Stegostoma tigrinum: one gene and its partners. The protein of the gene in region 1 purifies or fractionates together with the protein of each later gene. This does not show direct contact. Links are inferred from orthologs where the notes say so. Each region holds a gene or a part of one and is shown on either strand. Other genes may lie near its edges.

The links. Proteins that work in one complex are often made in the same cells at the same time.
Region 2: the proteins of nek7 (region 1) and anks3 purify together in Homo sapiens (affinity purification with mass spectrometry; 3 studies listed by BioGRID and IntAct, with this or other methods). This does not show direct contact. The link is inferred for Stegostoma tigrinum from reciprocal best matches to the Homo sapiens genes NEK7 and ANKS3.
Region 3: the proteins of nek7 (region 1) and ankyrin repeat and SAM domain-containing protein 6-like purify together in Homo sapiens (affinity purification with mass spectrometry; 3 studies listed by BioGRID and IntAct, with this or other methods). This does not show direct contact. The link is inferred for Stegostoma tigrinum from reciprocal best matches to the Homo sapiens genes NEK7 and ANKS6.

Annotation. Positions count from the first base shown.
Region 1 is NC_081361.1:37,332,814-37,340,737, forward strand, and holds the start of nek7 (serine/threonine-protein kinase Nek7), read left to right. Parts: upstream 1-4,920; 5' UTR 4,921-5,083; intron 5,084-5,604; exon of another isoform or gene 5,605-5,719; intron 5,720-7,924. UniProt on the Homo sapiens protein: Protein kinase which plays an important role in mitotic cell cycle progression. Required for microtubule nucleation activity of the centrosome, robust mitotic spindle formation and cytokinesis.
Region 2 is NC_081376.1:31,370,836-31,377,746, forward strand, and holds the start of anks3 (ankyrin repeat and SAM domain-containing protein 3), read right to left. Parts: upstream 3,004-6,911; 5' UTR 2,819-3,003; exon of another isoform or gene 2,362-2,818; 5' UTR 2,344-2,361; coding exon 2,174-2,343; intron 1,399-2,173; coding exon 1,200-1,398; intron 254-1,199; coding exon 132-253; intron 1-131. UniProt on the Homo sapiens protein: May be involved in vasopressin signaling in the kidney.
Region 3 is NC_081355.1:20,774,484-20,781,616, reverse strand, and holds the start of ankyrin repeat and SAM domain-containing protein 6-like, read right to left. Parts: upstream 3,004-7,133; 5' UTR 2,454-3,003; coding exon 1,601-2,453; intron 1-1,600.

The DNA of each region.
Region 1 (7,924 bases):
ATATTGTTTTTATAGACTTCTAGAAGGCATTTGATAAAATCTCAGATAGATTGTTAACAAAGTTAGAATCTACAGAGTTGAGGGAAAATTACTCACAGAGCTGGGAAATTCTTTGAGTTACACGTTACAGAAAATAGACATAGTGGGTAGGTACTGAAACTGGGACAATGTGACCAGTGGTGTCTCACAGGATTTTTGCAGTAGGGCTTCAATTATTCACATTATTTACTAACAACTTGGATAATAGCATAGAAAGTCATGCATCCACATTTGCAGAAGACACAGTTAGGCAACATTATAGACTGTGTAGGTGATAGCGTAAACTTACAAGGGGATATTGATAGTCGAAATGAATGGGTGAAACTGTGGCAAATGGAATTCAATGTTGGCAAGTATGAGGTTATCCATTCAAAAAGTACAAATTAAGCTACTTTCTGGATGGTTCTGGAAGTTAAATATAATGGATGTCCAAAGACACCTAGAGGGTTCAGCTGCGTAGATCTTTAAAATACCATTAACAGGTGAAGTAATAAGCAAGAAAGTGAATGGAATCTTGCACTTTATATGTGGAGGATTGAGATACAAGGATGCAGTAGATATGCTGTAGTTGTACGAAATACCGGTTACATTCCATTTTGAGCAGATTTCTCACTATACCTTAGAAAGGATATATTAGTCCTGCGGGAATGCAACATAGGTTTATGAAAATGCAACGTAGGACTTCAGGGATTATGTTATGAGAAGAGAGTATACAAATGAGGCCGGTTTTTGTTAATTTTTAGAAAGTCATGGGGTGGTCTGATTGAAGTTTTCAAGATATTAACAGGAGAAGACGGTGTAGATAAACTATTTCCACTAGTTGGCAATTCTAGAATTAGGGGACATAGTCTGGGAATTAGGGCCAGACCATTCAGGAGAGATGTTAGGAAGCACATGAAGAATTTTCTTCCACAAATGGCAGTGGATGTTGGATCAGTTGTTATTGTTAAATCTGAGAGAGATCTATTTTTGTTAAGCAAGGGTATTAAGGAATATGGGCCAAAGGCAGATACAATAATTTAGGTCACAGATCAATCATGATTTCATTCATGTTTGAGTGCTGAATGGCCTACTCTCATTCCTATGTTACAGAAGATAATATAAGCATTGCCACATCAGGTAAATTACACTATTGGAGGCAATAGTCAGTCATGAGGTGGCCACGTTTGTTCTGTACATAAAGAACTGAATTGGACTTGGTCAGTGCCTGCACAAAATCAAAGTCTTTAAAATATGGAAATTTTTGAGCCAACAGGACAACTAAAAATACATTAAAAGCCTTTGACAAGTGACAGAAAAACTTTAATAAGAACCAGGCAAAATAAGGGAGAGACATAAAGCAAGGCCCCAAAGAGAACAACAGGTTCACAAAATCATTTGCAGCTTGACTGACAAAGTATTATTTTTAAAGAAAAGAGGAACTGCAATGTAGCATAAAGAACTTTTACATTCTTGACACATTTCACAATCATTCAAACTTACTTATAATTATACAGAACGGAAACAGACTAATTAATCCAGCTGTACATGCTTCAGATGATCCTCCACCCAACTCACTTCATTACACCCTATCAATGTATACTTTTTAAAAATTTACTCATGCTAAACGTAGGTCCCTTTAAATTCATCTGCACTATCTTCCACAATCTTACGTGGCAATGGGGTCTACATGCATGCTATCTTCAACATAAAGAAGTTTGCCCTGAGTTTCTTATCAATTTATTCATGACTTTTATATTTTGGGCCTTAATTTTGAAAATTCCCGTATCTTTCCCATTGAACGCCTTCACAATCTACAAATGATACATGTCGTATCATGTCATCTCTCAGGCTGAAACACCTTTGAAGTAATATTTTGGACAAAGAAATATATCAGCATTGTGAGTAACTCCTTGATTTATTAGGTAAGATTGACCATACCAACAGTCCTCTAGCTCAATATACAACAAAAATCATACTCATGTTATGCAGATGTCAAGAGGGGTTCTGCCAAAACATGCAATTCTGTTCAATTGCCAAGGCCCCCAAAATTATTCGAAAAGAACTCCAACGGAAATAATGTGCTCTCCTTTGGTAAGAACAAAGGGAATTACAGTTGCTGTCTTCACTTCTGTACAGACAGTGGGAACATTTTTTTGAGCCAAAGGGAAGATGGTTTTAATTGTGGCTGATTACTATGCTGGGTGGATGGAGGTAAAACATCTACGTGGTCACATGCCTGAAGCTGTCATTGCACGTTGAAAATCTTCGACACTTGGGATTCCAAGCCTAATCATTTTAGGCAAGGCCCACACTTTCCTTGTGAATACTTCAAATACTTGTGAGCTTGCCCAGAAGACTAACTCACTGAGTTATTTACAAGCTAATAGTGATGCCAGAAAGGGATTAAGATAAATTTTTTACTGAAAAAGAATGACGACATTAACCTGACACTACAAAGTTATCATTTTATAATGCTATGGGGTAGTCTGGCTCTGTTTGAGTTTCCAATGGGAAGGAAGCTGCACTCAATTTCTTACTCTTTTATGTCCATTTATATGTGTTGTAAGATATATGCTTTAGATTGATTAAATACCATTTCACTCATACACAGATTTATATTAATTGCCAGAGTACTCAATTTATAGATCTCCAGGCTGCGGAGTCAACATGGATTCATGGTCAAGGACAAGTTATTGAGAAAAACACTACATCTGGAGCACAATCTTGTGGAGACAGAAATTAGGATGGTGAGGAAAAACAGGAAAACATTAGTTTCGATCAGGAGACAACCTTCTACCGAGTTCACCAATTATTCTGCAGACCCGGGAGATGGCACAAAAACTGAGCTGGTATCATCTGACAGTGCTTATTCTGCTCAACAGAGTTTGATTGCAAGTACCACAATGAAGGCCTTTTGAAAGCCATATAAATTGATAGGAAAAGGACTTTGTAATTGTTAATGTTACTGAAAGAGGTAAAATTAAAGAGCTGATGTTTGGCATAGAATTTTAGTTTAGAATCAAACAGCATCATAAGTCATTTTTTAACAAAAAATGGCAAATCCATCTTGTATAACAAAGTGTGGAGCTGGATGAACACAGCAGGCCACGCAGCATCTTAGGAGCACCAAAGCTGACGTTTCGGGCCAAGACCCTTCAACTGAAAATCCTTTCTGATGAAGGGTCTAGGCCCGAAACGTCAGCTTTTGTGCTCCTAAGATGCTGCTTGGCCTGTTGTGTTCATCCAGCTCCACACTTTGCTTTCTCAGATTCTCTAGCATCTGCTGTTCCCAATGCTATCAATGTGGATTTCACCAGCTTCAAAATCTCCCCTGCCCCCACTTGTCCCAGCCTCCGTAACCTGTTGTTCCTCTCACCTATCCCCTCCTCCCACCTCAAGCCACACCTCCATTTCCTACCTACTAACCTCATCCCACCCCCTTGACCTGTCCGTCCTCCCCACCTATACTCTCCTCTCCACCTATCTTCCTAATTATTTCAGAATCCTCTCCCCATTCCCCTTTTCTGATGAAGGGTCAAGGCCCGAAACGTCAGCTCCTAAGATGCTGCTTGGCCTGCTGTATTCATCCAGCTCCACACTTTGTTATGACGTTTTAAACAGCAACAGGTTTATTATCAACCAGTTTGGCTAAGTCATGAATACTCCTTATATCGTGAACAAGCCCCGGAGCAGGACTTGAAGGGGAGCTTCCAAAACCCTTGCTACGTATATCAAGGATAACAAAGCGTGGAGTTGGATGAACAACGCAGGCCAAGCAGCATCTTAGGAGCACCTCATCTTAGGTGAGAGGAAGAACAGGTTAGGGAGGCGGGAACGGGCTGGGCTGGTTTTGACAACATATATCAACGTTTGTTGCATTAAAGCTTCCTACGTATACATTTGGAATGCAACTCGGTACTTAAGAGTCATACAGCATGGAACACGACCTTTTGACCCAAAGGTTCTTGCCGACCAGCTTTCCTGAACTGAACGAGCTACATTTGCTTGTGTTTGGCCTGTATCCCCCTCATCCTTCCAATTCACGTACCTGTCCAAATTAAACATGTGTAAACATTCTATAAAAGGAAAATAAGTTTTGCTGCGATTAAGCAATCAAATCACTCAAATGTTCTCTGAAAAACGATTGCCATATGTTCTCCGCTGGTGGATTGCACAATGCTTGAATGAGGTACTTTATAAAGAAACTTATTTCTGACACACGAGACAGTTATCATACAGGCGAAATATATCGATCTTGCAATAAAATAGCGAACTGTGTTCCAATTTTCATGGCTTTATCTTTGGTAGAAGTGTTTTCGGTTCTCGAGAAGCTAGCCGAATCCTAGAAATACCCTACTGTAGCTTATACGTTACATTTTCCGTTTATGTGAAAGGATATTTTATTGCATTTAAAAGGTATCATATAGCCTATTACGTGCAATACGTCCTTCCGGCCCCCAAAGTTTTTCTTTCCTAATTAACTAGGCTTAGAGTTTCATTGCAGTCCTGGTTGGTTTTTACTTCATCCGTTGCTCTCCACGGAATTTCTCCTAGGTGCCAAGCGGTGTCCTGTGCAATCGCTGCAATTAGTTACCTGCCACAATGGACCAAATACTCAACAAGAGCGGTGCCACGTTCTGCAAGAGGATGAGTGGGGATTTGTACCATTGTGTTGGAAGATGAGCCAAGCTCCAGGTGAACTTGATCGTATCGACAGAGTGGAGTGCAAGAAAAAAAATGCAGCCCCAAGTAGCTCCTGTAACGAGGTTTGCCTGAACAACAGCTTCACCACTGACTTCCCTCGCCTTGCACTAACAATTGACACACGCTGGTTTCAGTGGCGTCAGCACCGGCGATGATACTGCAAGCTCCGCCCCCCCCGTCCCGCGGAATGCTGGGAGTTTCCAGCCAATGGCGGCACGATCCTTGCGCTGACATCAGCGCGCGAGCCCGAGCTCGAGCCCGGAGCAGCCGCACGCGCTGCGCAGGCCGCGGGCAGAAGAAAAGCCTACAGCGGCGCCATCGCCACCATTTGCTCAAGTGACGGCTGCGCCGCTTCCCGGTAAGGGCAAGGGAGTTGTTGGCTACGGAGTCGGAAACAGACCGGGGCGGGCAGCTGGCATCGCCTCCCAAACGCGGAGATTTCCCTTTTGCTCTCTTCTCCCCCCACCCCCCCATAAACATACACACACCCCCCTCCCTCCTCCGCAGGCCTAAGTTTTTAACTGACCGCCTCGCCTTGTCTCCTGCAAACCCGCAGAGGAAACCCCCCCCCCCCGGACTCAGGGCTGAAATGGACAAGCCGCTTGTGGCCAGAGCATCGAGCTCGTTGTTGGCCCCGGCTCCAACCTCTCCACTCAGTCAGTTTTTTTTTCTCTCTCTCTATCTTTCTTTCGGCACCGTAACCAAGGCGTGACTCGGGGAGAGACAGTGCCGGCCCGAAGAACAGCCAAACCCGCTGGCAATAGCAGTTCCGCCCAATTCTCCTCTTATTGGCTCGCCCAAATAAAACCGCCATTGCTATTGGCTGACTGATGCGTCCGTTGTTGGGCAGACCGCTGCCTTTCATTCGCAAGTTGCTCTGATCCTCAAGGATAAAGTTGTCACTTAGTTTGGAGTTGTGAACTGAGCAGCTTCGCAGATGCTCCCCTGCTATCTTGTTTTATTTTGCTGTCTGGAAAATACGTTAAGCTATAAGGTGATGGTTTTTACCCTTAGCAGTTTAAGTTCAACTTTCAGGGCGAGTTGACTTACCATATTTGTGAAAATGTACGTTTAAACATTGAAACAAAGATGATCAAAAGTGATCTTTCAGGTCTGTGGAAAATTATTGAAATGTTGACTATTGGTTGAGCAATGAGATGTTTAACGAAATGTTATGAACTGATAGGTTAATAGTTGAAATGAAACATCCTTGTGAATGATTTGCCGGAACGTCATTGAGCAATTCTTTTCAAAAACATTTCACAGCAGGTGGTAGAAATTTGAAGCTGTCTTCTGCAAATAGTAAATGATGCCAGATAAAGTAATTGTAACTGATTTTTTGCGAGATATGACTTGTGCATGGAGTTAATTTGCAGAATAGCCAGGTTGCATTGAAATGAAATAAGCTCAGGCGCTAAAGACGCACTTGTGTTCTATGTTCCTATGTTTGTTTGAGCAGGTTTCTTGGTTTAAATGCACAGAATTCTATCAAATGGGCAATCTGCGCACATTTTATCGTGTTTTCACATGACGGTATGGCACAATAATTTAAGAAAAATCATTGTCTGTTCTTGAAAAGAAGCAGATTATGATCAGTTATTTGCCTCCGTGTGCTGTTTCTGTTGGAACATGAAATGCCTTGAAATTAATTATTGCTTTCATACTGTGGAGTGTAATTGCTCTATTAGAATAAATGAGCTTTACATCTCCAATTTGCATGGGGGTGGGGAGGTGGTTGATGTACCTCAACTGGTTGAACTAGCCAATAATTTGTCACTCTGTCAATATGTACATCAATATCTCTCGTAACTTGTTTTGAGCATTTTGTTTATAGGCCATCGTCGGTCCAGGGTTTTAATCATCTTGGTTATTTAAAATGAGGTAATATTTTAAACTTTGCTGTCAAGTTTGACATTGATCTTTCTTTCAGTACGATTTGTGAATTCTTCTGTTTTTTTAAGTGTTTTCTTAAATGCTGTATTGAATTGTTTTTTTTGCTTTGAGCATTATAGATCCGAAATGATTCACCTCTCAAAATTTCAGCAGTTTTGCAGCCTTGAAAGCAGATTTTCCAGTTTGTTGTCTTGAGCAAATTATACACGACAGTGACTAACTTGTGTATGAATTGCTATTAGTTTCCTAGGTTCCAGGATTTTATTAGTTATTCCTTTCTACATTAAAAGTAGATCTGCCAGAAATAGCTAAAGTTTATACTGTAAGTCGTTAATTTGAGATACTCGTGCTAACTTATAGCATCATATCACTGTGAACTGATGTCCAGAATAATCTTAAAAGGACAATCATTCTTTGTATGACAAATACTTCTGAACAACAATCTTGATCTTAATTTTAAACTACTTTGACATTGCTCTGAAGTTTATGGTTATATTTGGAGTTAAGATCGAGCTAAATATTTCTATTTGTCGGAACAGGAGTAGGCTGTTCACTCCTGGAAGTCTGTTCTGCCATCCAGTGAGATCATGGCTGATCTGTGACATAACTTCATATACCTGCTTTTGGCCCAAATCCCTTAATACCTTTGCTTAACAAAAAATATTTCCATGATTTAAAACTAATAACTTATCTGGTAGCAACTGCTGTTTATGGCAGTTTGTTCCATACCTGTGTAAAGAAGTGCATCCTTACATCTATGCTGACTGATCTGGCGCTGACTGCAGTGCTCCTAGTCCTAGAATCTCCAACCACTAGGAATGGTTTATCTTTATCTACCCTGTCTTATGAACCCTATCCTGGTAATATCTTGGACATTTCTCTTCATATTTTGAAGTCGCTAGGTTATCTGTACTGTTACATGTTGTTAATGGCTTTCCTTGTAATCCACCCTTGAGATGAATCATAGAATTTTACAGAAGGAAGCCGTTGGCCAATCATGCCTGCACTGGCTTCCAAAAGAGCTACCCAGCTAGTCTAATTCTCAAACCCTATCTTGGTAGCCCTCTAAATTAATCATTGGCCATTGTTTGCCTGGAACTGGTTGCCTAGGAGGATGAAAGTGTACTTGATCAATAATTTGAGAAACAAGTTAGATGGGCATTTGAGGGAACCGAACTTGCAGTTCTCTTATGCAGACCGTAAGGTGAGGGAGTGGATTGAATCAGTTGCAGTACAGGGAGCTGTGTTGTGAATTGAATAAACTCCTACTGTGCTGCAATGACTGTAATGGTATTGACTTAAGGAG
Region 2 (6,911 bases), on another chromosome or scaffold:
ATTTAAATACAGGTAGGCCTGTTGTGCATTAGCAGATGTTTAATATTTGTGTGAGCAGTGAACAAAACATTGAACAAAGAATATGCTCTCAGGATGAAGGACATGCAAATCATATCTACCCCGTATCTTACTTTAGATTTGCATCAGCCCCATTATCCAGAAGGAACTTCACCATTTGCTGGTGTCCAGTGCTCGTGCAATGGAACAGTGCAGTCCAGCCTCTGTGATCCTTCAGTTCCAGTTCAGCCCCTTGCTGCTTGAAAGAAAAAGCAATTCAGCTCATCAAATCTCAGCCCTCTTGTGTCTTAACACTTCCAGGTAAACCCAAACCTCCAGTACCAACTGAAACCAATCCTTCGAGTACCCTAACCCTCCTACTGCACCTTAGTCCCTCCATGTCCAAAACCTTCCACTGAAGCCCAAATTTTGATATCTGATTCTACTTCTGCAGCTTCGTTTGCATCAAACATTTGCAATGATATGTCCCCTAAACTTCCCACTCAATATTAATATCCTGAACAATATCCTGCAAACCATCTTCTCTCCTCGACGTAGTCTGTAATCTTTCCTAATAGCTCAGTAGTTCTGCCGGATAAATACACCTATGATCTTGAGGTAACCATTATGGTAAAAAGAGAGCTGCCCTGTGCATTATACATCATCAATTTAATTGCTGTGGAATCATATACATCTGTTGTGGCTACATATCCAAGCATTCCAGTTCTATTGCCTTGTACACTGGCTCAACGTTCAGTGATAATGGGAACTGCAGATGCTGGAGAATCCATGATAATAAAATGTGAGGCTGGAAGAACACAGCAGGCCCAGCAGCATCTCAGGAGCACAAAAGCTGACGTTTCGGGCCTAGACCCTTCATCAGAGCTCTCTCGAAGGATTGGTTTCAGAGCTCTCCGATGAAGGGTCTAGGCCCGAAACGTCAGCTTTTGAGCTCCTGAGATGCTGCTGGGCCTGCTGTGTTCTTCCAGCCTCACATTTTATCAACTTTCAGTGATGTGTGTTATAGTCACAGTTTCCTTTTAATGTCTCTGCACCAATTCAATCCCATTCATTACATACCCAAGATATTCTGTTGCCTGAATGGTGCTACTTTATCTCCATCACTGTTTCCATAATCCAAATTATACCACTAACTTGCCCCAGACCACACTGCATAATCACTGACCCCAAAACATACTGACCTGAAGCAAGAAGTAGGCAATGCTCTCATTGCCACAGCTTGCTGCCAACATCAATGCACTCTGCCCTCTCTCTGTTGTCATGTTGACATCCACTCCTGCCTCCAGCAAGAGGTGAACAACAGTATCATGACCAATATATGACGCGTACATCAGAGGTGTCCAGCCTCCCCGGTTCTTCTGATTCGGGTTTACTTTTCCTCTAAACAAGGCAAATAACAAATCATTCCAATTTCACAGTCCCGCTCCCCCACACACAGCCAGCCAGGTCCGCACACAAACATACCAACCCCATCTGAGCCACATACACACACACACACACATGCACACACACACACACACACACACAGTGCCAGATACTTTCCCACTCCCCTGTCATACACAACTGAGCCAGGTCCACACATACACACACACAGACAGACCCAGTCACTAAAGATTCCCTCGACCAACGGGTACCGTCAACACCTGTCTGAAATGCAAGATGATAAGTTACAGTCCCTACAGTTTGACATTGGTTTTCACTTTCTGTAACTGTGTCAGGCACTAAATAGGGATTCTTATGTTGGGGCTAGTTTTGGCAGAGTGTGCAGGTTCCTGAAGGTGAGATATGATTTTGGATTTGTTGGAGTGTGTTGAACGCTGGCACTACTGATGAAGATTTCATTCTAGGATTGCTGATGTAATGATTTTCAGTGGAATTATCAACAGATTGATAATACTGACCATCAATCTGTAATCCACATAAGCACTTTCCAGCTGAAGTGATTTGGTGGATCAATTGACAGCATTCAGGTATGGAAGCACCTGATGTAATGATACATGAGGATTCATAAATCAGCCAGTTTAATAGTTTCTACAAGCAGAGTAAAAGTTAATTTGGAAGAATTCACATCTTTAAGTAAACATGCTTATGCTGGCTAAATTATTATCCTTGCACATTGGGTCTCACTGGCAACTAACAGTCTTCCTGCTCTTACCTCTGGATACACTCCTTCACCACATCATACTGTCCAATCGATGATGCCGTGTGAAGGTCTAAAGGGACATCCAGGTCCTCACAGCCAACTAGCTGTTCAAAGCCATGCCACATGGACAAGCTGCGATTCAGAAGCTCGGTCTCACTTGAGTCATCACTCAGCTCAGACATGCTGGTCTAATTTCCTTCCTGTACAGAAAGATCAGATCATCACGACACCTCCTTCAAATCACATGCTCAGTGGTGTGGGAATTCCTAGTCAGTGCAACCCTTGAAGGCCAGAGGAGGCAACTACATTCCGTATCAGTGGGCCTGATATTGTGCTCAGGTACTGATCACATCGGAGACTATATAGACGGACCATGCGGAAAAACAACCTCAATGACAAGTCATGCCTCATCTCCAAATACGAGGACATCGTGAGAATATCGTGACAGGATTAGAATGTCATGGATTTGTGAAGAACCATTAATCTACTGAAATGATATTTTAAATGATTAAATAACCTAAGGAGATTCAGAACTTTACAGTTGTCCCATCGGTGTGTAAGTGACATTAGTTGCTACAGGTTACTGTCACCCCTGTTGCTATGGGTTACTGTGACCCCTATCTGTGTTGTGACGCTTGTTGCTAGAGGTTAGAGTACCTAGGCCTCCTGCCAACGGCGCTAAGTTTTTTTTAATAATCTTTACGTCCATCCGCAAGAAACAATTGCGCCCCCCTTGCTCGTCCCCTGCGATGATCACTACCTTTTTTTAAAAAAAGTAAAAGTAACACCGTTGGACAGAAAATGGCTACCGCACTTTCTCACCGCTGCTTCTCTTCCGGCTACACAAGCATGTGACATACACCAGCCAATCATATACACATGAGGCCATATAAACAACGATAGGCAGGATGAATGCAAGAAGGTACTCCGCTGAGTTAAAGATCTCTGCTCCGCCCAGCAGCATACCCCTGCAATGGAGGACTTTCTTAGCTGTTGTTAGTTTTATATACCTTTCTGATCAATCTTATTACGCATTTCTGGAGTCGATGCGACTTGAACCTACCAAAAAGTAGAGACACAACTACTGTACCAGAAGAGTAAAGTGGTGTAGATTTATCTTTGTGCTGAACAATTTTGTTATTGCTAAGTTTGCATGGTCTGCTGTGGATATTTCGAAAAGGGACTGGCTGGTTTTTGTTTTATCTGGTTCAGTTGGAGGGAAGCTTGCTAAGAACAAGCTGAGTCAGGGAGAGCTTTCTAACAAAAAGCTGCCGAGCTCTTCTCTCTCATTTCTGAAAAAACTCTCTTGTTGAGTGGAATTTATTTGTTCTTATGAAAGAATGATTGACAATACATTGCTAGATTGTATTCCATGAGCAAACTGTGTTTACAAGACTTCAGAGACATGTATGATTTTACCACATATGCCAGAACATCAGAACAGTGCACATTGGAACATCTTCTGCTTTATCCTTTTCCCTTTAAGAATAACTCTTGACAAAAATGTTTTTCTTTCCCATTTTTCCAGATAGCCAATGTCTGCTGTTTCTTTTTCTCTTTTCCCCGAAGCATGCGTGTTGTGGAGATATTGAGAACGAGAAACATTTATACATCTCTACTACTGCCTGTGAACACTAACCAATTATTGTATCTTTACTAAATTACTTGTACTTTGATAAATTTGAAATTGTATTTTATTAAGCAACCTGATTCAAAGATTTTTTTAAAAATATGATATAGAAAAAGCATTTAATTGGCCATTTTGATGCCTGGAAAAAAGATTTCTATTATATGTTGTGACGCGTGGAGTAATGGGATCAGAACTATAATGTTCCTCCAGCCTTGTTCACAAGAAATTCTAAAATGCTTTGCAAACCAGGAAGTACTTGTATAGATTTTTTTTCAAGAAATATTTATTTAAAATATATTTGCTTCTGTAAAAATATATTATATAACTGCTTTGAGAAATGCATTTGTACTTGGTGTACTGGATGACTTGTTGTAATCGTTTGACCTCTACTTCAGCTAAGAGTGCTTTTACATGCAAGCTGTGGCAGCCAGGAAAGTGCAGCTGAATGGTGAACCAGATAAAACAAAAACCAGCCAGTCCCTTTTTGAAATATCCCCAGCAGGCATCTACAGCAAAGCAAGCAGTTATCACTAGTAATGTGGTGTACATTAAATCTTGTAAAAAGAAAATATCCAAAACAGTAATAAGTATTCAACTGAAAAATAGTGAATTTTCAGACTTATTACGGAATGAAACAGCAAGGAGGCTAAAAAAATACAACCCGTAGACATTGCCATTCAGCTGAAGATCCTGTACTTCACTGTATGCAGCTGACCACCATCCCTTAGCAATGGAAATGAATCGGTAACAACAGTTACCATAGTCACAGCACTTGCCATGGAAGTGACACACCAGGAGCAACGAGATACCAAACAGCCAATGTCAATGCACACACATAGCATTGAGAGAGACTTTGTAGGCAATGCTTGTACAAAACTTAATAGAAGTGTAACTGACTAGAGGTAATGAACAGTTCTGTTAATGCATGATAATTTTCTCTGATTATCTATAATGGGTAACTTTATGTACCAGAGATAGTAAGAACTGCCGATGCTGGAGTCTGAGATAACACTGTGTGGATCTGGAGGAACACAGCAGGCCAGGCAGCATCAGAGGAGCAGGAAAGCTGATGTTTCAGGTCAGAACCCTTCTTCAGAAATTTCTGAAGCATAATCTTCAAAGAAGCCCAAGGGCCTCTTTGTCAGGGAAGATCCCAGCACAGTACATCATAGGCAACTTCTCAATATAGTCCAGGCAACTGACCATGTCAGGCATCCTTTGGGTGGGTTTTCACTCAAGAGGATCTATGTGGGCCAAGGTCAGTCTATTGACATTGTTGAAGCCAATCCAAAGGGCAGCAATAATATGGTTAGGGAGATGTATAGATGGCAGTCAAGAGACTGGGCACATTTGGCCTGGGACTGTCCAGTTACCCCTTGGTTGAGGAAGTGGGCCACTGTCAGTCTGCCAGTTCCATTCTCAGAAAGTAAGTGGTTTGGACAGGTGAGGGTGAAATAGTGGCTACAGTCTTGTACCAACACGTTAGCCTTTGGGACTGGGGAATGCCCACTGTGCAAATGGTGCACTACAATCGAGGAGGGATCCAGCAGAATTTTGATGTGTGCCAGGTTGTAAAGCATAGCTGGGACATATGTTATGACGGAGGAGCAATTGTTCATGGTTAGTAGTACCCTGGCTTCAAGGCGTGGGCATGAATGACAAACCAGGCATGTTCACCTTGTTTGCTTGAGTCTGGGTGGAAAGGGTAGATAGATGTAGACGAATGTAGATGAGTTGGGTGAGGACTTGTGGAAATGTTAATCTGATGTTTTTGACAGAATGGGCCACTCGGAAAGGCTATTAGACTACACATTGACATAGTCAGGCTGAGGCTGGGAGTCACTGTAAAGTACTCACTATCACCTTACGTTACCCTTAAAATCAAAAATGTGCAATGGAAAGAAAATGGCTACAACCATGCTGAGTGGGCAAGGTAAGTGACTCAGCCTGATAGGAGGGGGCTGCAGCACACACTGTTCAGAAGGATTCTAATTGGAAACAACAAGCTCATAAAAGCCTAGTGCAGAGGCCGGACTCCCTGGCCTCTCTGCACTGTTGACCCTCTCTGAAGGTGGAAGCATACTGACTCAGCTACTGCTGGACAACTCTTCGGCAGCTACATCTTTGCAAATAGAAGGACACATTAGACATCGTCATCCAGAAGAACCAAAGGACCAGCAGCACCCAAAGCTATGGGGCCACACTGTTCCTCCAATTGTAGCTGATGTCATCAGCTCTTTTGCGTAAACCTCAATCCTTGAAGACTGTTATTTGGATTTGAATTGATACTGGAATGTGTGTCAATGTTAGTGGGAACTGCAGATGCTGGAGAATCTGAGATACCAAGGTGTAGACAATAAAATGTGAGGCTGGATGAACACAGCAGGCCCAGCAGCATCTCAGGAGCACAAAAGCTGACGTTTTGGGCCTGGACCCTTCATTAGAGAGGGGGATGGGGTGAGGGTTCTGGAATAAATAGGGAGAAAGGGGGAGGCGGACCGAAGATGGAGAGAAAAGAAGATAGGTGGAGAGGAGAGTATAGGTGGGGAGGTAGGGAGGGGATAGGTCAGTCCAGGGAAGACGGACAGGTCAAGGATGTGGGATGAGGTTAGTAGGTAGGAGATGGAGGTGCGGCTTGGGGTGGGAGGAAGGGATGGGTGAGAGGAAGAACAGGTTAGGGAGGCAGAGACAGGTTGGACTGGTTTTGGGATGCAGTGGGTGGAGGGGAAGAGCTGGGCTGGTTGTGTGATGCAGTGCGGGGAGGGGTCGAACTGGGCTGGTTTTGGGATGCGGTGGGGGAAGGGGAGATTTTGAAGCTGGTGAAGTCCACATTGATACCATTGGGCTGCAGGGTTCCCAAGCAGAATATGAGTTGCTGTTCCTGCAACCTTCGGGTGGCATCATTGTGGCACTGCAGGAGGCCCATGATGGACATGTCATCTAAAGAATGGGAGGGGGAGTGGAAATGGTTTGCGACTGGGAGGTGCAGTTGTTTATTGCGAACCGAGCGGAGGTGTTCTGCAAAGCGGTGCCCAAGCCTACGCTTGGTTTCCCCAATGTAGAGGAAGCCGCACCAGGTACAGTGGATGCAGTATACCACATTGGCAGATGTGCAGGTGA
Region 3 (7,133 bases), on another chromosome or scaffold:
ACAACTGAAATCCTCCAATCCCAGCAAAATCCTGATAAATCTTTTCTGCACCCTCTCCAATTTAATACGAATATCCTTCCCAAAGCAGGCCACCCAGAACTGTACACAGTACTCCAAAAGTGGCCTCGCCAACATCTTGTGCAACCTCAAAATGTTGTTCCAACTCTTACACTCAATGGTCTGAGCAATGAAAACAAACATGCTAGATGCCCTCTTAACCATTCTGCCTACTTAGGGCATAACTTTCAAAGAACTTTGTATCTAAACTCCTATGTCTCTCTTCTACAACAGTGCCTAGAGCCCTACCATTAACTGTATAAATCTTGCCCTTGTTCATTTTATCAAAATACAAACTCTTGCATTAATTCAAATTAAATGTCATCTGTCAGTCCTCAGCCCATTGGCCCAATTGATCAAGATCCCTTTGTAACTTTAGATAACCTTCTTCACTGTCGACTATACCACTAATTTTGCCACCCACAGATGTACTAACCAGACCTTCTGAATTCCCATCCAAATTTAGGCATCGGTAGATAGATTTTTGATTATAAGGGGGATGAAACATTATTGGGAGTATGCAGGAATGTGGAATTGAAGTGAAAATCAGACCAGTCTTTGTCTGATAAAATGGTGATGCAAGCTCAAAGGTTGCTTGATAATAAAATGTGAGGCTGGATGAACACAGCAGGCCAAGCAGCATCTCAGGAGCACAAAAGCTGACGTTTCGGGCCTAGACCCTTCATCAGAGCTCTGATGAAGGGTCTAGGCCCGAAACGTCAGCTTTTGTGCTCCCGAGATGCTGCTTGGCCTGCTGTGTTCATCCAGCCTCACATTTTATTATCTTGGAATCTCCAGCATCTGCAGTTCCCATTATCTCTCAAAGGTTGCTTGTCATGTTGTGATCCATTTTACAAGAATCAGCGATAAAGGATAAATATCAGGAAGCAAATAGGACTAGATTAATTTAGGATACCTGGTTGGTATAGATGAGTTGGAATGAAGGGTCTGTTTCCCTGCTGTAAATCTCTATGACTAAATGTCATTGTTCCTCTATGAAAGAGCATAAATTATACTCATACATGAGATAACAAGGTGCAGAGCTGATGAACACAGCAGGCCAAGCAGTATCACAGGAGCAGGAAAGCTGACGTTTTGGGCCTAGACCCTTATCCTCTCACAAGGTTAGGCATTTCTTCTGATTTACATTTCATCGGGAAAGTACCTGTTATATCACAACACTATGCCAGTGCTGGATTTTGTTGGAGCCGAATACACCACCTTCTGGTTGGAAGTGTTGTCAATTTCAGCTACATTGACAAGATAATAGAACAAGATAACAAAGTGTGAAGCTGGATGAACACAGCAGGCCACTTAACTGTCCTCTGGGCAATCAGCGATGGGCAACAAATGCTGCCTAGCAGCGACGCTCTCATCCCGTGAATGAATTTTAAAAAGTCCCCTGTTATTTTAAGGTTGAGCACATATTGGACTGCAGACGTTAATTCTGTTTCTCTCTACGATGGTGCTGCTATTTCCAGCGTCTTGAGTTTATTGCAGATTTCCAGCATCTGCATTGCTGCCATCCCCTTCAAACCCCTACCTGATTTGGGCCGATTGGTGGTCTTGGAATCCAGGTAGTCTCTGATCTCCTTCTGCCTACAGGCGCAGGCGATCTCGAAGGCGGTCATCCCTCCCACGTTCGTCTGATTGGGATCCGAGCCTGCATCGACCAGCTGCTGGGCCACGGCCAGCTCGCCGTTGAGTGCCGCCAGCATCAGGGCGCTCCAGCCCCCAGCGCGTCCCGCAGGCGCTCCGGAGCAGGAAGCCCCCCATTCCAGCAGGGCCCTGACCAGCGGCTCAGCGCCATGTTGGGCCGCCACCATCAGGGGTGTCAAGGCGGGGGCGAGCGCAGGCTCCTGCCCCTCCCCCACCCGCTGCTGCCGGCCCCCACCGCCCGCATCCGGGCACGCGCCGCCCTCCAGCAGGGCGCGCGCCAGGCCGACGTGGCCTCCGCGCGCCGCCGCCGTCAGCACGCTGGCGCCCAGCTTGTTGGCGGCGTTGGCGTCGGCGCCGTGCTCCAGCAGCACGCGCGCTACGCCCAGCTGCCCGAAGCGGGCCGCCTGCATCAGCGGCGTCCAGCCGTAGCGGTTGCGGCTGTCCACCGAGGCGCCCTTCATCAGCAGGAACCGCACCAGGTGCTCGTGGCCGTGGCCGGCCGCGAACTGCAGCGCCGAGTTGCCGTCGTCGTCCGTGCAGTCGACGGGCACCTGCGGGGCCCTGAAGTCCGGGCCCGCCGCCTGCTCGCCCCGCTCTACCTCCTCTTTCTTCTTCTCCTCATCCTCCTCGTCGCCGTCTCGCGGTGCCGGCTCCAGCAGCCGCCTGGCGTTCTCGAAGTTTCCTTCTTCGCAGGCGCGGAACAGAAGCTGGTAGATTGGGGGGATCCCGCACTCCATTTTTTTTTAAGGCCTAGGCGGCAACAGCAAAGGTGATGCGTCCCGGTCGCCCATCAGCGTCCAGCCCTGAAGCAACGACATCGCTGCGACGTTCTTCTTTCCTCTCACGCCGGAGTTGGTCGCCAGTCGGGATTTGCGAGGAACCCTGATGCACGTTGGAACCGTCTTTCCCGTTACTATAGCGACCAATTGAGGTCAGTTCTCCCGGTGCTGAACCCTATTGACGGGTCGGTGCAGAAAACAGAAGGGCCGAGCCCAAGTAACCCTCCCTGCGATTGACATGACGAACGACCAATCAGACACCACCGTCTCACTCGTTTCCCCGCCTCCTTCCCGACTTCATTTGAAGAGCCCCGAAACCGCGCGATTCGCGGCGAGGAGGGACGAGGCTTCAGTACCGAGCGACACGTCGAACTGTTCCCAAAGGGCTGGCTAATAGGCTGTGCCGAATGACGCTACCACATGCGTCACAATGGGATTTCCCCAGGCTCTGCTTCTGACTATGGGAACCCCGCGCTCATGCGCGTCCCAGAGCCCAGCTGTACACTAACCTCAGTGATCGAGGGGGCTGCCGAACAATCTACGTGATGCTTCTGTATGCACTCGCTCCGGGATGAGGCTGGCTACTTTTTTGAAGTCCCAAAGCATACGAGAGAAATGGACTAAACATTCGGCAAATAAACCAGATGACCAAATTTATCACGCCTCTAATTTTTGAATGAAATAGTGTTTCAGGACCAGGACCTGCAACCCAAGTCTGATCTTGTGGTTTATTAGACAGCAATGGTGTCCGTGCTACTAAAAACTGAAGACGCTTGGGCAACCCACAGAGGGCAGTTTAAAGCATTGGAAAATCAGTAGAGCCTTGTGTAGTGGTAGTGACCTAATTTCTGAGCCAGGAGGCTTCCGTTCAAGTTCCATCAGCATGTGCAAAACATTTGAGTTGATCAGAAAATACCTAAAAATAGGGAGGTGTGGCTAAAATTACACAAGACATTAGTCAGACCTCACCCTGGACTATGTCAACAAATTTGATCTCCTTGCCTTGGAAAAGATACACTGGCATTGGAGACCATTCAGAGAAAAGTTCACTATGTTGATTGCAGGGATGCGGGGAATTGTCTTTCGGGGAGAGGTCGTGTAGTTTGGACTTGGTTGGGTAGCTGACATTTAGAAGAATGAGAAGCAATCTTACAGAAACAAGATTCTTGTAGAGCTTAACAAAGTAGATGAGGAGACACTGTTTCTCCTTGTGGGAGAGTTTTGGAGCAGAGAGCTTAATCTCAGAGTAAAGAAATTGCCTGTTTAAGACAGTTTGTTTTCTTTCAAATGGTAATAATCTGGAATTCTTGACTGTGGAGGCTGGTCATTAAATGTGTTATCTCGCAGATTGGCTGTTTCTTTGAAGTTGTTTACAGTGTTACTTGGTTCTAGTTAAAGGTTTTTTTTAAATCACGAAAAATTTCAATGTCATTATAAAACTTAAAAATGAAGGCACCAAACGAAAACGTTAAAGAGATGTCTAGCATATCTTGTCTCATTAACTAAAGAGTGTTAACTGTAGAAGTAATTACACAATTTTAATATGAATTTTATAACAGAATTAACTTTTTTTAAATTAAAAAGAAGTAATAAAATTTGATGAGTATGACAAGTGCAGTAAACGGTGGAATCCAGTCAGTCCTCAGAGGTGAGCGGGCCACGAGGTGGCCAGAGGAGTGCGACCAGTAACTTTGGAATGCAACATAGAAAGGTCCCAAAGTCTAAAGATTACAGTAATTGTTAAAAGGCTAAGGGATTCGAGGGTTGTCTATACTAATGCCCATCATTGATCAGGTGTTTTACAGGATTGGTCCTATTGACAGGAAGGTGAGGGTACAGTAACCACATTGTGTATGATCATTGTAAAACAAAATGTATAAAAATACTCCATTTTTACTGTAAAAATCAGCATGTGATTGATCTCTTTTCTGATCTGAGATGCAGATTAAGGGAACAATTGTGTTCTCATGTCCAAGCCAGGTTCAAGGAAGATTATTTGGCCCTCTCCCTGCATTAACTGGTTTTTGCTTGACTAAATGTCCACTACGTGCCTGAATCCTGTCTATCTCCTGAGTCTTTGTCCTTGGTTAGGGGTCACAGTCTTACAGCGTTCAAGGTTGAGACGGACAGATTTTTGATCAGGAAGGGTTTCTCGAGTTATTGAGATACAGCAGGAAATTGGAGTTGAGGATTATCAGATCAGCCACTGAACTCATTGAATGGCAAAATTGACTCCTTGAGCCAAATGGCCTATGGTCATATGTCTTATGGTAACACCAGTACCTTCACGTGAAGCTTAAAATCCCATGTCAAGCAAGTTCATCCAACAGCAGCACCATCTCCCAGGTAAACATGCCTATCATCTAGACCTTAACCCCACACAACCAGATCTGGTTAGGTAGAAGACAAAATTACAGAATGATCCCAGCACAGGAGAAGGCTTTTTGATCTTTCATGTGTGCAGAGGCATTAGCAATTTATCTAGTTCCACTACCTGGCTTTCTCCCTGCTCCCTGCAAATTCTTCCTTTTCAGATGATTACAGAATGTTTTTAGCACGGAAGAAGACCATTCTGATTATGCTAATACTCTGATGGAGAAATGCATAAAGTGCCACTGTCCTGATTTTTCCATTTTGGCTTGAATTTTTTTCAAATGATGTTACAATCTTGAAGGAGATTATTAACATTTAACCCCAACTCAAACTACCAATTATTATTTGAAAGAATAATGTGTCATAGATCCACATTTCAAACAAAAAGAACTCATACTGTACAAGAGCTAAATAGAACAAGTATAATTAGTTTAACACTCTATTTTGTAAACAGTTGGATTTTCAATGCAAAAATCTCAATGCAAAGTCCCTGTTAATAGTGTTTATGGGCAAATGGCCTAATTCTGCTCCTATATCTTATGATCTTTATTTCCACCCAAGTGTTCCCTTGCACGTGCAGGATCTAACTGAGTCTACACTTTTTAGGATTCATCCCCATAACCCACCTAATCTAGGGCAATTTAGCATGACCAATTCACCTAATGGGCACATTTTTGGACTGTGGGAGGAGACCGGAGCACCTGCAGGAACCCCACACAGACACTGGGAGAATGTGCAAACTCCACACAGGCAGTTGCCCAAGGCTGGGATCGAACCCCGGTCCTTGGTGCCACAGCTTTCAGGAATTCACCAGTGATTCTTCTCAGTTTTCCCACTATTCTCTAAGATATGAGATTTCTTGGAGAACTTCCTCTATCATTCAGTTATGTAATCTCCAAATCTTTTGAAACACTTGTATTTATGCCACCCCATATTTAAAAATGGGGCTGTCTGTTCGTTTGTTCAGTGTCTCCAAAACCAGAAAGCACCTCCATTTCTGATTGTAATTTGGATAGGATGTACCAAAGGGCTAAAAGTCAATGATGATATTCGAAAGCTGCACGACCTTGAAGGAGTCCAGTGAGCATTCCTGTATGTGCTGAAGACAGCACAATCGTGTTTTTCTATAATTGTTTTTTTCTTTGCCTTGCTGTTTGTTACACCGTATAAGAGAGAGAGTTTTGTTCCAAGTCACTGGACTTCACCTCGGATCAGGATTGCAGATGTTGCCAGAAACAACTCAGCCTCCAGACCAGCCCTCGATCAAGGGGACCCTGACAGGCATAAGGGCGGGAGGCTTATTGTTTTTTTCCTCTCTTTATCATTCTTTTTATTTACTTAATAAATGTTTCTTTCTTTTTCAGCTTTTATTATAACTCAATAAATGTTCATATTTAAGCAAATTGCTATTGTTGAGCCTTCTCTTAACCACATTTAACCGAATCTGAAAAGAACCACTTGGATGCACTGTGATCCAAGACACACTGTCATCCATGTGTGAATTTCCAAGCTATTTTTGAATTAATTTATTCAGAATTCACCTACTAAATATTATTGGCCTCCATATTTGTAGTTTTTTCATCACATAACTGTAGATGTACTTCTATTCTTAAGACCATTGCCTAGACTCAAACTTTTGTTCCTCTATTTGAGATAGTAATTCTAAAAGGACTTTCATTGTGTAAATAATTTATTCCCCTGTCAGTCAAAATCTTCTTTACCTAATTTAGTGAAAATCTTCTTAATTAAGTGATATCACTCAGATGGTGCTATTGCTCACAAGGAAAAAGGTCTTGTATTCCTCTTAGTTCTGGTGTTTGAATAGTTTGTGATCCTTCACTTTTCCTGCTTCCATTCAGAATGTTGATAGCTTCTTCATTTTAGACCTCCACCTCCATGTCACATTCCAACATCATGTCTTTCATACAACTGACATATAACATTCACTTATATCCTTTGGCAACAGCTGAATAACTAGGGGGTGTCGTGGTGGCTCAGTGGTTAGCACTGCTGCCTCACAGCACCAGGGACCGGGGTTCGATCCCAGCCTTGGGCAACTGCCTGTGTGGAGTTTGCACATTCTCCCAGTGTCTGTGTGCGTTTCCTGCAGGTGCTCCGGTTTCCTCCCACAGTCCAAAGTGCACATTAGGTGAATTGGTCATGCTAAATTGCCCTAGATTAGGTGGGTTATGGGGGATGAATCTGCATGGAATGCTATGAGGTTTGGTGTGGACTTGTTGACTCAAAGGGCCTGTTTCAACACTG